Mytilus edulis: one gene and its partner. The protein of the gene in region 2 interacts with the protein of the main gene of each other region in a pairwise test. Links are inferred from orthologs where the notes say so. Each region holds a gene or a part of one and is shown on either strand. Other genes may lie near its edges. The genes, in order: E3 ubiquitin-protein ligase MARCHF5-like and ubiquitin-conjugating enzyme E2 W-like.

Evidence for each region.
Region 1: the proteins of ubiquitin-conjugating enzyme E2 W-like (region 2) and E3 ubiquitin-protein ligase MARCHF5-like interact in binary tests that used the Homo sapiens proteins (3 or more experiments, as listed by UniProt). The link is inferred for Mytilus edulis from reciprocal best matches to the Homo sapiens genes UBE2W and MARCHF5.

Annotation. Positions count from the first base shown.
Region 1 is NC_092347.1:53,783,388-53,790,987, reverse strand, and holds the start of E3 ubiquitin-protein ligase MARCHF5-like, read left to right. Parts: upstream 1-4,432; 5' UTR 4,433-4,829; coding exon 4,830-4,876; intron 4,877-6,893; coding exon 6,894-7,099; intron 7,100-7,600. UniProt on the Homo sapiens protein: Mitochondrial E3 ubiquitin-protein ligase that plays a crucial role in the control of mitochondrial morphology by acting as a positive regulator of mitochondrial fission and as an important regulator of immune response.
Region 2 is NC_092344.1:109,518,612-109,526,492, forward strand, and holds the start of ubiquitin-conjugating enzyme E2 W-like, read right to left. Parts: upstream 3,044-7,881; 5' UTR 3,013-3,043; coding exon 2,998-3,012; intron 1-2,997. Other genes in the region: putative inositol monophosphatase 3, read left to right, coding at 3,235-3,561, 4,770-4,935, 7,814-7,881. UniProt on the Homo sapiens protein: Accepts ubiquitin from the E1 complex and catalyzes its covalent attachment to other proteins.

The DNA of each region.
Region 1 (7,600 bases), on a different chromosome or scaffold from region 2:
GTCGAGGGATGATACCCAGGCTGATATGGAAAAGGCCATGTATTAATCGCTTTATCATATACTTCCGACAATAGTTTTATGTAAGGCAAATGAATAAATGCAATAACTAAAACAGTCAAAAACTTTATAAAGAAGTTAAATTATGAATAAAATATACTATAATTGTTCAACAACAGCAGCACTATACCTCCTTATATAATAATAGTAACATTTCCTATAGAGGCATTTTGAAACATTGAAATTTTGGAAGAGTTTTATGATCATTACTACTCCATGTTTGTTGTACTATAAAATGATTCATAATTGTCATTGGCATTTGTTAGCAAGTACTAAACTACCCCACAAAAGTTCACGTAAATTTTGACGTCGTCATAAAAAATATCTGACGTCACAATGGAAAAGTAAACAACCGATACCGGAAACACCGGAAGTAACTTGCACGAGAGGCACTGATATGGGTTTTTTGCACGAGAGGCACTTGATATGGGTTATCAGCCCGGGTGGGAAGATATGGCTTGTGCACTTCCGCCCATTACACATATGCAAAAGCTATCATATTAATGCTAAGTATATGATAAATATAACTATAATAAATCATTTATAATTCCATTATTTAAAAGTGGGGATCATCTTGATCCTTCAAACTACAGAGGAATTTCTCTGATGAGCTGTCTAAGTAAATTATTTAATATGGTTATAAATTGTAGATTACTTACTTTATTTGAAAATAATATATGTCACCATCAACTAGGCTTTAAGAAGAATAGTAGGACTTCAGATGGTGTCTTTATTGTAAAGACTCTGTTTAATAAATATATAAATTATAAAAAGAAAAAGATTTATGGTTGTTTTGTAGACCTAAAAAAGGCATTCGATTCAGTGTGGAGGTTAGGTCTTTTGTACAAAATAACAAAAAATGAGAAAATTGGTGTAAAATTTTACAATTTGATAAAAAATATGTATAAGAATACTGAAGCTTCAGTAAAATTAAAGGAGAATATATCTGAATATGTCTCTATTGATAGAGGAGTGAAACAAGGGGATAATATGAGTCCAAACTTATTTAATGTTTATATAAATGATCTACCAGAAATATTTGATGAAAGTTGTAAACCAGTGACTCTGCAAAATATGTCAATCAGCTGCCTTATGTTTGCAGATGACATTTTGTTATTATCTGAAACTCCTGAAGGTTTACAGAACTCTATAAATAAACTAAATTTTTATTGTAATAAGTGGCAGCTCACAATAAATACACAAAAAACTAAGATAATGGTCTTTCAACAGAAAAACATTTTATATAATAAATATGATTTTTACTTAAATGGTGACAAACTAGAAAAAGTTTTAAAATATAAATATCTTGGAAATATAATTGAAGCATCTGGGAAATTGACTTCATCACACACTGAATTGGCTAAGAAAGGTACTAAAGTTTTGTTTTCTATTTTTAAGTATCTTTCTCCTTTAGAAAATGTGTCTATAAAAGTATACAAAAAATTGTTCGAATCACTAGTTAAACCTATTCTTATGTATAACTCTGAAATTTGGTATATGGATTTTTATGAAAAAATAATAAGAGCTGAAAAACGGGCTCAAATTAAGGACATGAGTAAATTTGATATTTTGTCAATGATTGATAGTAGCCAAGTGGAGAAGACACATTTAAAATTTTGCAAATATATACTTGGGCTTAGTAAACAATCTGTCAATATAGCTGCAAGAGCAGAACTAGCTCAGTATCCCATAGATGTCTTTATTAAAGTACAATCATTGAAGTACTTAGCAAGAATTTCTAGTGATGAAAATAACCCTTTATTATATGATGCATTTTGTTTATCTAAATGGCTTAGCACTAACGGTATATTTTCATGGTTTTCATATGTAGAAAATATAGCCAATGTAAATAAATTAGGCATAAATAAAATTCAGGATATAAACTATAAACAAGAGAAGAGGTCATTCTCAAAAAATATTAGAAAAGAACTTAAAGATAGCTTTGAAAATATTTTCTTTGAAAAATTAAAATTAACTAATGAAACCAGTAAAATATTCTTGTACAGTAAAATAAAAACAAAATATGAAATAGACAAATACATTTCTAAAAATAGTCTTGAAAATAGAAAATTATTATGTAAAATGCGAGTAAGTGACCATTTCTTGGAAATAGAGAGGGGTAGATATAAAAGAATTCAAAGAGAAAATAGAATATGTAAACATTGTAATTTAAATGCGGTTGAAGATGAAACCCACTTTTTCTTAAAATGTAAAATTAATAAATCTTTACGTAATCAGCTTGAAAAAGATATAAATAATATATGTCCAGAATACTTTAATTTGTCTGAAACAGATAAATTACAATTAATTCTATCTTCATTTGATATTATGCAGCTTACTGTTCCGTTCATTAGAAAGTCATTTGCACTGAGGGGAGTGGACACAACGCCTGCATAAATATTACTGTTTTACCACTTTATATATGATGTTTGATATGTTAATTTTTCTATTGTGTATATTGTATTGTATTGTTTGTATATGCCTTCAACCCCCAGGGGTATAAATGTGCATTTCATTAATAAATAAATATATAGATGAAGAAGAACTGTAAAGCTGCATGTGGAAAGTTTTAAGGCAGTTATATCGCGCGACTAGATTCATCAGTGGCACCCACACATTTCCTGGATAAGTTTTACTCAGTATTTTGAGGTTATTTCCAGTATTATACAGATACAGATACAGAGAAAATGCTTTATTCCCATAAAATGGGCTCACAAGGAGCATAATATAATATCATTATAATATTAATTTATCATCTTTTACAAATATAATAAACAATACAGTATACATAGTTACAAACAGTTTTCACATATTACTAGTATATATGTTCCAGACCGTATGAGTATTTGGACCGTACGCGTACGGTCTGGACCGTATGCGTACTTTTTCGAAATACTCATACGGTCGGACCGTACGCGTACGGTCTGACTAATATCAAGGAGTTGGTCAATTGTACTAGATACAAATACATATAACAGATCAACATAACTTAACTCTCAAATAAATAGAAAAAAAATCAATTGTAATTGAAATAAAAACTTTACATTTTAACTATTTAAAAAATTCACGCTAATTAAATCTGTAAATCTCTAGTATTTAGCATGTAGATCAGTCATACATAATACACTAATTGAATTATGACAATTATTCTCACTGAAATTGAATGCGAATAATGTGGGAGGACAATTGCTTTAGAATATTGAGCAACTTTTAAAAAAAAATGCTAATCGAAAGGAACATGCATGAACTGAAAAAATGTAAATATGAAAAATATACTTTTGGTAGCGAGTGTCACCTTTGACGAGAGTTTCAAAATAGGATTCAGATATACAATTAAACAAATATCTAATTTAAATTGTTAGGTAGTTCATTTTATCCATCTTATCCAATAACATGTATGGTCAGCTCATACTGGACCATACGCGTATACTCATACGGTCCGACCGTACGCGTATGGTCGGACCGTACGAGTATACGTATACGGTCTGGACCGTACGCGTACGGTCCAAATACTCATACGGTCTGGAACATATATATAAAACCTTCGTCTCAGGCACACCTCTAGAAAGCCAGTAACAAAAAAGTTAGTAGGCTAAATATATCTAGCTGAACTGCAGGAGGCACCAAGGGACGGTGCTATATTGCATGGTGGGTGCATATTAAAATGTGTATCGGGAAATTAATGATATGGTAAGATATTGTAAGAAGTTGCACATAACTGGTATGATCTGGTATGTCATCCTCGTGCCTGGTGCAGAGGAGTCAATACTATTTAAAGTGACACAACTGCAAGAGGCACCAAGGACAATGCTAATTGACATGCCAAAGTGCACATATTACCAGAGACATATATGTGTATATATGTCTCTGATATTACGAAAAAGATAAAATCTTACCAGTTTAATAAAAGATATCACAAACAGAAAGGTAATAGAACTTATACGATGAACATATATCTATGTACCTTAACCTCACTTTCAGGTCAATATAGAGATATTTTTTTCTGAGAAAAGTTTGCCGCAGAGACATGTGCCTGTGAATACCGGCATAATATTTTTTCACAAAACGCCATTATATTGACATTAATTGCTATTTAAAGGAATGTTTAAGAGTATCTCAGAAAATAACAAGTTTCATTCAAATTGGACTGGTGAGTTTAGACTCGGTTATCAGTGTCCGAAAAACTGGAAAATCCCTCTTTTTAAAATAGGATAACCCCCCATAACTCTGAAACGTAAATTCTTAGATCAGGAAAATCTAAAATTAAACCGATAGTTTTTAAGTGTGTTATATGAAAATAGACTATTGATATAGAGGTTTAGTCTTTAAAATTAAAATAGTTGAACATGTTAAACGACGGTGCTCCTAAAAGCAGAGGAGGAAGACACATAAGAACTGAACCTAGTGTTGCTACGGACTTCCGGTTCATTTTTCTGAAAATATTCTGCGTGCTACTGTCTTTCTTACCTGCATATTGCAGTCAAACACTTAAGAAACCTTAGGAAACGAGAGGAAACACATTTTGGTTTCAGAATTCCATAAATTTGCGTAGAAATAATGTCATAAGCCGATAAGGGGAAGAAAGATTGAACTTCTTCCATCTGCAGTGTCAGAGACTGCACATACGATAATTTGAAGTTTTTTCACTGATGTTGATCATACTTCTGTCGTAAATATCTCTGAATTGTGACTGAAACTTACTGAATTTTGATTTATAAAACCAATCAAACTTATGTTCCTGTGATTAAAAATGCCTTGACTCTGATCTGATTATGTCGTCTGTTGCTAAACTATACCACAGATTGTCTGAGGAAGACAGGTAATGTTCTGAATAAAATGAAACCTTACTCTTTACAGGGTGTCTCATTGAGGGGTTATGATCCAGGATTCCACTTATTATTTTGTCAGATTTCTGAATTGCACCTTGATTTCTAATGCCTGACTTTGTTTCCTTTTTGTATAAATTATGCACAACAATTTGACTAATACTAATTTCAACTACCTGAAAGTGCAATCCAAGCCCCCACAACAGACACCTTCTGGGTCTGTGTGTGGCAGTTCCTGGCGTAACTATTGATACCTGATTTTATACCTGTACAGTTGCTGCACACATCATATAATTTTATTTGTTTTTGTTCCTGTAAATACACAAGGTTTTGTTTATTTTCACTTGGCGTGTACTGGTTGACACATGCGCACAATATATCTGCGTTATGGAAATTTCAACTGCAGATTAACCACATAGAAGTAGAAGAAGTAGAAGTACACATGTAACACTTACATTAAATCAGCCAATCCCCTGTCACACTGAGATCAACATTATATGTAATGTATGGCCTTATACTTCAGACAAGGGGACTGTATTTTAAGGTAACATTATATCAGGGTGTTTCAGTCTCAAAAGAACCACCCCAGTTGATCTAGCTAGATAAATGAATAATGACATTACAAGTTTGTGAAGTTTTAGATTCTAGGTGGGCACATTTGCATTGTGATTCTATTATGAAAATTATGTTAAAAGTTTAAAAGTCGGTCTGAAGACAGAAAAAATATCCGAACACTTTTTTTTTGTTTTTCTCCCAAAATAACCCAAACTGAATAATCATAAGAATGGATGAGAAATGCGACTTTGCATGGTACCTATAGGACACAGAGTCATGATGATTAATATATATGCTGAAGGAAGAGAAGCGACACACAAAATGAGGTCTTCTCGTTTAATAGTATAGATAACTAATCTAAGTTCTTTAACTACAATTATTCTGTGTCTGACCTGTATCAAGCACTTATAATTTTGTCCATTGTTGCCTCAACTGTTCAGGGTTGGACCTTTGCGGTCGTATCTAGCTGCTGTCAGTGAAGCAATCTTTTTAATTTGTATTTTTAACCGGATTTTTGTGACAAAAATGTCGGTTATTGATTTGGGGATGTACGGCGGGCGGCAATCAAATGTTGTCTGTGCATTAACTCATGAACCGTTCAATCAAAGCTTTTAAAATTTTAATATTTTATTACTGACAACTATACGAAGGTCAAGTTAAATAATGGCGATTTTGACTTTAACCGTTCAGGAGTTATGGTTCTTGAAAGATTGAAAAATGGTGTTTCCCGTCGTGTCCATGCATTTTCTCATGAACCATTCAACCAAAGCTTTTGAAATTTTAATATTTTTGTTACTGATGACAAAATAGAGGTCAAGTTCAATAGTGACGATTTTGACTTTTACCGTTCAGGAGTTATGGTTCTTGAAAGATTGAAAAATTGAGTTTCCAGTCGTGTCCGTGCATTTATGCATGAACTGTTCTACCAAAGCTTCCGAAATTTTAATATGCTGTTACTGATGACAAAATGGAGGTCAAGTACAATAATGACGATTTTGACTTTTACCGTTCAGGAGTTATGGTTCTTGAAAGATTGAAAAATGGTGTTTCCCGCCATGTCCGTGCATTTTCTCATGAACCATTCAACCAAAGCTTTTGAAATTATAATATGTTGTTACTGATGACAAAATAGAGGTCAAGTTCAATAATGACGATTTTGACTTTTACCGTTCAGGAGTTATGGTTCTTGAAAGATCGTAAAATGACGTTTCCATTCACGTTGTTGCATTTACTCATGAACCTTTCAATCTAAGCTTTTCAAATTTTAATATGTTGATACTGATGACAAAATGGAGGTCAAATTTGATATTGACGATTTTCACTTTCACCATTCATCAGTAATGGTTCTTGTGATATTGCCAGGACACAAATAAATGTTAATAAATCCGGTTTGCTGTTGTTGTGACAGCCTCTTGTTTAAAGTAAATTATTACATCTGTATTATGTATATAACAGGAGATCATGCTGGGTGTGTTTTGCTACAGATGAAGATGACATGGAGGCAGGTTGGGTCCAGCCATGTATGTGCAAAGGAACAACAAAATGGGTCCACCAATACTGTCTTCAGAGATGGATAGATGAGAAGCAAAAGGGAAACAGTACTGCCAAAGTAGCTTGTCCACAGTGTAATATGGAATATATCATTTTATTCCCTAAAGTTGGTTAGTATAGTAGAATACACTCATTTGCCTGTTTAATGTGAAAAAGATTTGTGGAAATTCAAGTATGTTAAAAAGAGTTACCCTGTTATAAACTTAGTCCTTGTTATCCCCTTTTCTGTCTCTCAGTTCTTCCATCCATCAACAAAGTTTTTAAAAATAAAAGGAAAATTTCCATTGTTTGTTTTGCTGTAAGTTTTTGAAAGTTTGAAGGGTTAGAGTAAAAGGGTGCCTCAAAAAGTGTTCAGCACATGATTTTATCTATTGACAACCAGTTTTGGAGTTATTAACCTCTTTTTTTCCTAATTTGTCTGTTTTCTTAACATTACAGGATCAAGGTTATGCATTTTTTTGGCAAAATGGATCAGTTGAACGATGATAAACTAAAGTATGTTCATCCTAATCTGGCAATTTTTTCAATACAGACACAGATGTGTCCTCTTGATTCGCTAAAGTGCGTTGCCAACACACGCTAAAGTGGGATGGTTCATGAAGTATAGACAT
Region 2 (7,881 bases):
TGCCATAGATGGTACACTGTGATTGTCATCAAATAAAGTTTTAAATCTTCTGATGTTTTTTTCTTAACCTTTCTGTCTCAGCATTTTAACAAACTCTGTACTTTCTTCTATGTTTTCTTTCAGCTCTCTCTTTCCAAGATTCATGTAGTATATTTTAGTGAATTTTATATTGACATTAATGCTGTTATAGCTTCTGTATCATCAGCATTGGTATTTCTTCTTCAGATGTGATTTATGCAACCCCTCCCCCTTACTATATTGGTATTTAGGTATTCAGTCTCTGTGGACTTTCTCTAACGCTTACTAGATTACAAGCTATTTCAGATAGCATTTGTATAGCTCTCTAACTGTCAGAATGCTGGTCTAGTATTTGTACCAGTAGATATACATGTATCTGCTACTAATTGTATTGTCCATGGTTCTGAATCAATTGCTTCAACCCTTAACATTTATGTAGACAAACTAGTTAATTGGATTATAACAAGGTTCCCCTATAAAGCAACTTTTTATAATTAATGAATTATATTGATATCTTTTGTTGTGAAAGATTAATAAGAAAATAAAGACAAACAAATGCATATGATCTTAGTACACTAAAAATGTATACATGTATTAAAATATCTGTCAAAATATGTGATGGCATACATGTAAATGCTGAATTTACAGTGTTAGAGTCTAATAATTTGCTTGAATTTATTAAAGTATTGCTCAGATAATAATAAGCTTTTATTTTATTTTATCTATATTAAATAAAATAAAATATAGAAATATGATAAAATTATTAGCAATTGTTTAAATAATAATGATGATATGAGTTAATTTCAATAATCCTTTGTTTATTTGTGCAAGTACAGTATAGTAATGACTTTTAACTGGTTGTTAATTGATTTCACAATTATCCTCTATAATCTTTTTGAGTTCCATTTAATCTCCCTTTGATCTTCAATATAGTCTAATCAACAATACAACTACAATACTGGTATATCAGTAATGTACCAGTATTGCTGTTTTTTTAATAAAAAGTAACAATACTGGTACAAAATTTTTATACCAGTATTATGGACAATACTGGTATACCAGTATTGCGATCACCAACTACAGGAGATCCCAAATATTAGTGAAAGTCTCTAATGTAACTGTTATTAGTATTTAAGAAGGACACTAAATAAAAATGTCTATGAATATTTTTTTTATCTGTTTATCATTTCCATATTGCATTTTCGGAAGTAATTTTTTTGTTACTATACACGACTTCAACAAACTTTGTGTCATGTTTGTTGTAGAAGTAATTTCATACTTAAACATATGAGTCAAACCACAAGTTTCATAATGCACATCACATTATTAATATGAGACAATATCTGAAAAAGTCTAATTTTTGGAAATAAGAAAAAACCAAAAAAATTTTTTTAGACCCAGTATTTTAATAGCACAAATTGAAGAACACACATTGGGGATCTAGGAACTGTTGTCTGTAATTCAAAAAATTGTTTTATAAGGAAACAATGGCTATTTCAAAAATGGTACAAAACAAATCCAGTTCTTTCCTGTTACCAAAGTGAATCAATTTTAAAAAGTTTCTAATGGGAATAATGAATAAGTTTAAGACAATATTTGTGGTTTACTAGTATATCCTGCAAGAGTTTATCAAATGCCAATTATTTATTTTAGCATTTGCAATACAAAAGGTTTAGAAATATACTTAAATATAGTCAGATATGTCGGTAACATGAAAGAATCTTGAGTAACAGCACAACGGTAACAGGACAGAGTTGTTAACAGAAAGGATTTTTCTGCTTTATTTTAAAGTTTAAGAAAAATACATCATTTTAAATTGGTCACAATTGGAAGATAACAGCAAACAATGTGATTTATCCTTTGAAACTGTATTTGCAAGATGAAAAATCTGCCTAGGTAAGGAAAAATTCTAAAATAAATTCCTTTCTGTTACTATTTACTAAACTAGAATTGCACAATGTTCTCTGCTGTTATCAAAAGCAAAAAACCTATTTTTTTATTAAATATACTGTATATTATTTAGAAATTTATTTAATATGGTGGTGATAACTTATATTAAATAAAATGGTTAGCATATAGTAGATTAACTTTTCGATTGTCAGTGAAATTGTCTTGAACATCCTTCCTGTTACTGATGATGGTTATGCTGTTACTTTTTATCAGGTAACATGACAGAACGTAACAGAAAGGAATTACGCGATAGTTTTTGTCCTTTTTATCACATTAAATGTAAGTGTATTTCCTGTGACATATAACTTTTAAAAAGATGATATAAAAACACACTTAATGCTGTGGTGCACACTTAAAAATATTCTCAGTAAGTGTAAGAAAAGGCTGTAACAGGATAGAACACCAATAAGTATTTTTCTATAAATTCTTACCTTGGATGGGCTTGAATTTTCAAACCTGGCCGCCTTTCCAACTATTTCTTTGTACTAATGCATTCAGGAAATGATGCTCTGCACAATACATAATGGGAAAATAACTCTTGGTCTTGTAAATGTTTCCACAGGTAAAAAAAACCCAGTGGTAACAGGAGGGAAATCAGCCCTGGGGACAAATTTTTTTTCTCTTAAAATTTGCAAAATTTTATTACATGCTATAGTTATAATATAAAAAGACAAATTAGGGGCAAGTTTATTATATAATATATCATATATGTGAGAATCGGACGCCTGTTTAATTAATTTGGATATTATTTGAATGATTTAGTTTTCAAAAAAACACAGGGGACAACATGATTTTAGGGGGGTTGAACATTTAAATTACAATATTTTATTGGAAGAAATATAAGAATGAGTGTTTAATTGGCAGGCCATGGTGCATTATATAATTTAGTTTATACTGAAACTTAAAATTTTCAAAAAAGATGGTTGAATAAAAAAATAATTGCTGGTGAAGTGCGGGACATGGAAATTAGACTTTTTCAGATATTGTCTCATATATCGAATAAAAGACTGAAATGTAAAAGTGGAATACCTCCATAGAAGCCATGATCGTCTGTCTGTTTACCTTTAGTTTCGAATAAAAAGAAACTAAAAATTTATTGTTTTATCGTGTTTCATATATAAAAAGTATAAAGTATTAGAAATAAAAATTAGATTTCTTAATTTTGTGGATCGTGCATTTCTTTCCATAGGTTTAAAATATTATTCGAAACTAAGTCTTTACATCAAGCTTCTACTTATTTTTCCAGCTCGACATCTATGATCTACAATGGGACCTGCAAATGTAAGAATCAACCCTGTTGGTGGAGCTGTATTTATAGCTCTTGGTGTATGTGCAGCTTTGTACATGTTTGGTCTTCCCGACTGGTTCCATAGAGAGCCCAGAGTTAGCATGAAAGAACTGTTATCAGTGTGTATACAGCTTGCACAAGAAGGGGGCAAAAGAGTAAAAGATGTAAGACTAGCTAGTAATGTACTTCAGGAAAATCTGAAAGGAAAGACAGATGAAGGTGTCAAAGATGTGAAGACTGAAGGAGATACACAGTCGCACAGGGCTATTGTATATGGATTGGCAAAAGCATTCCCTGGTCTAAAGGTAGTTATTATATAAGACCTAATGATAGTTTTCTTAAATGCTAGTCTATTAGTTCTGGTTTGTTTCGTACCTACAATAAGGCAGTTTGGGGAAACAGTTTTTAGACTTACATGTATCTGTCGTGTGACTTCCATCGCCACGTGACAAAAATGTATGCATCCTGACTTCCAACTCATGTTGAGCAAACGGATGAAAAAGTTTGATTTTATACTACACAAAATATTTGGGAAATTAAAATCTAATAAGATGGTCACCCTCCCTCATTTGTACAGGAATCGCACCTACCCGCACATTTGTTGTTCTCACATCGAACATGTACATAAAACAGTACGATAATACTCCCCTGGGAGGCCTGTACTATAAAGGAAGAAGAAGAAGAATCAAGATTATGTACTAATGGAACATAAATGATTTCTTTACTACCCTACAAAATGACGATAATGCTGGAAACTTTTAATAGGGCAGGGATACAGACACATCTTCTATCTGGTAAATGACGTCATAAAGGGGTGCGAAATTGGCGATCTTTTCCAGTGAAAAACATGATTCCAGAAATGACGTATGGTAGTGTTATTGACAGACCCTTTAAGCACTGTCTTAATATCAGTCTGAGAAAGGTCCCAGATATCTATCTTTGGTTCTTTAATTTTTCGGTCCAAAAATGGTATGTCAGTAAAATTTTATGATATATACATTGTAGGTCAGCCTACTATTTTCAGTTTTCTAGTGTATAATATTTCTTTACTACTTTTATTGCTCTACCACATTCATACTGAATTTTGTTCAATGCTTTATAAATCATACATGTAGGTACTATTTTGCAATCAGATATATTTGCAAGGTTTTTGGATAATGTCACATGTTCAGTCCCCCAGGTATTTTACAATTTTACTGTGCCTTTTCACAGCCTTTGTATATCTCTCAGCACCAAAGCATGCTGTAATGAGAACTCACTGTTTGAGCTATGATTTCTGAGGGTGAACCCTTTGCTGTCTCAGACTCTTTATATTGGTGTGCAATATTTTTCTTTATTACAATGTACCCGGTTTGTTAGGTTGGTCTGTTATATATATACATGTATTGTTTTAACCTTGTAGTACTCATTATTGTTGATATTGATAAGATTATCGTTGATCCAAAATGTGTTCATGATGTTTAGCTTAAGTGTCAAATGCCTTATTTCATAAACTTGGTATATTTCTCTTTAGGTTATATCTGAAGAAAAAGATCTAAAACCTGTGAATTTACTGGAAATAAAAGACACAAATAAGCATTTAACAGAAGTTGCAGAAACAATATCAAGTGACCAATCAATATCAAACTCAAAGATTACAGTGTGGGTCGACCCTCTTGATGCTACAAAGGAATACACAGGTATAACAATATTTTGTCCAATTAAAGGGCCCTGTAAAGAGCTATTATCACATTACATACAAATACATAAGATAAGAGACATATAAGAAAACAACACCTTTCAACAATATTATTATTTTTATGCTTAGTGCTATATTAAAGTCCAGGACAGAACATATATACCTATGTATGCAAGTATACGTAGGAGTATACTTATGTTCTTTTTGGGTAAATACAGCAAACGCTTGAAAGTTTACAAATTTGATTTTTAAACAATAAACAAATATATAGCCATTTTGTGAGTTGTTGCATTAAGTGTTTATAAGGAAGTACACCACTAATTCATGGTCCCATTGCTTTCTATGTTAAATTCCTCCGTTTCAAGCAGGCACACCTCTTTTATTTTAAGTTCAAATAAAGTGGCAATCATTGCATTTCAAAGCAACACTTTATGGTGTCTTGTACTGAAAAAATCAACATACCTTACATTGCATATAAGAAAGAACTGGTTCCCGGAACTTCAGATGTACCAAAACAGGTACTTCAGATCTGACAAACAGACAAAATGTACCCTCTTTTTAAAATTTGGAGCAGTTTTTTTACTATTCAAAATTAAAAGTCCAAAAGTGTTCTACAATGATCACCAGTCCTTCAGCTTTCATTTGATACCAAAAATACCTAAATATTCTACATATTTTGAAAGTTACACTCATGCGTAGGAACTATTTTGTGTTAAATATGTACTACTTTCTGGTATGTGCTTTCTGGCCGGGCCTGAATTAGTGGTGTTACACCTATAACAGAACCAAACTTGCTATATTGACTTGAGCATTACTTTATTTCATTCTATGATCTATTTCAAGCAATAAAAAACATATAAAGCCTTAGTCCAAATACTATTTTATTAATTTAAAGCTCAAATTGGACTGGTAGTAACATATGGGTTATTCAAAGAAAACTGCATATGTATATTACCATTGGCCAATATATTTTTTTTATTCTCAATATCATTGTTTTATTTATTAATTTCTATTAGGAAAGCTATGTGCTTACTATTAGTCATATTTTTATCAGAGGTTCTTCATTAAATAACAATACATTAGTCCAAACTTAAGACATAAATGAGAAATTATCCCCCCTTTTTTCTTGAAATTGAAAAAAGGCTTTTTTTTTTGCATGAATTATAATTCTGTGGTAAAACATAGATTAATAAGAGCAATTTATATATCCCTCAGCTAGATAACTTGCTAAACTGGTCCAAAATTGCATGTACAGTGAGATTTAAGAATTCTTATATGAGTATATACCATTTGCCTAGATTGTAAAAGGCTACCATAAGAAAAACAAAAAAACTTGAAAAATCATGTGATTATTTTGACCAAGAGCTATTTTGTTCCATAAACAAGTCATAAAATACATGTTTTATTGATTTGAATCAGAAAAAATGCAAAAATGAGAACTTGGAGTCAAGTCTTAACTGCATGCATGTTGTATGACCATAAAAGGCTAACATATTTGAGTATGCCAATTTAAGAGCTTAAATTTCCCATAAGCAGGACGGTTGACCCAAAAAAGATGATTAGACATGATTACTAACATCATATTTGACTTATTTTCATTGGAATAGGTACAACTTCTAAAAATTGGATTTCTGGTGATTCTCTGTAATAGGAAGTACACCACTAATTCATGGTCCCATTGCTTTCTATGTTAAATTCCTCCGTTTCAAGCAGGCACACCTCTTTTATTTTAAGTTCAAATAAAGTGGCAATCATTGCATTTCAAAGCAACACTTTATGGTGTCTTGTACTGAAAAAATCAACATACCTTACATTGCATATAAGAAAGAACTGGTTCCCGGAACTTCAGATGTACCAAAACAGGTACTTCAGATCTGACAAACAGACAAAATGTACCCTCTTTTTAAAATTTGGAGCAGTTTTTTTACTATTCAAAATTAAAAGTCCAAAAGTGTTCTACAATGATCACCAGTCCTTCAGCTTTCATTTGATACCAAAAATACCTAAATATTCTACATATTTTGAAAGTTACACTCATGCGTAGGAACTATTTTGTGTTAAATATGTACTACTTTCTGGTATGTGCTTTCTGGCCGGGCCTGAATTAGTGGTGTTACACCATAAGGCCATTAACAATCAATCAAATTTTCAATATGCAAACTCTAATTTGAATTTTTATAATTGTTTCCATATATACTGATGTGCATCCACAATTATAATCTATTTTACCTGAAAATTTTAGTTTTATGTTTGTTAAAATATACAGCTTTTATTTGTTTATCTGAAATAGTTTATTCTTTAGGATTCAAAATCTGAATAGCAAGATAAATGTACATTAACAGTCTATACATATTTATAAAGGAACAATGACTTGATACATTGTTTGATATATACATGTACTTTGCAAATGCAAGCAATCACAATGTATAATCAAATAAGTTTCGATAGCAGATAGCAGAACTTTCGAGGTCAAGGGTTGAAGTCATAAAACTTTGCTCAGTGCTCGGAGCACACAAATCATGCTCGAAACATGAAATCCAACATTTTTATTGCTTGAGTTTTGAGTAAGAGTACAAAAAACTGACTTGAAAGTTTAATGACTTCAAGGCTCTCCTGACAGTTACAATTTCTCTGCTCTGTTAACTACACAATAACACTAAGTACTACATAATTTTACCAATCAAATCTTAATAATTTTGTTATTTGAATATATATATTTAATTTTGATGATGATATATATTTCTAACACTCTAAGTGGTACTTTTAAATCTGCTTGCATTATCTTGTGAAACTAATCTGATGAAGCAGCACATCTGTCCTATAACATGTGTAAAGTTATAAACTGAAATTCATTGACTGAATGATATTGCTATTTACAGAAAAGAAGTTAGAGTATGTAGCCACCATGGTATGTGTTGCAGTAGATGGCCATCCTACTATTGGTGTC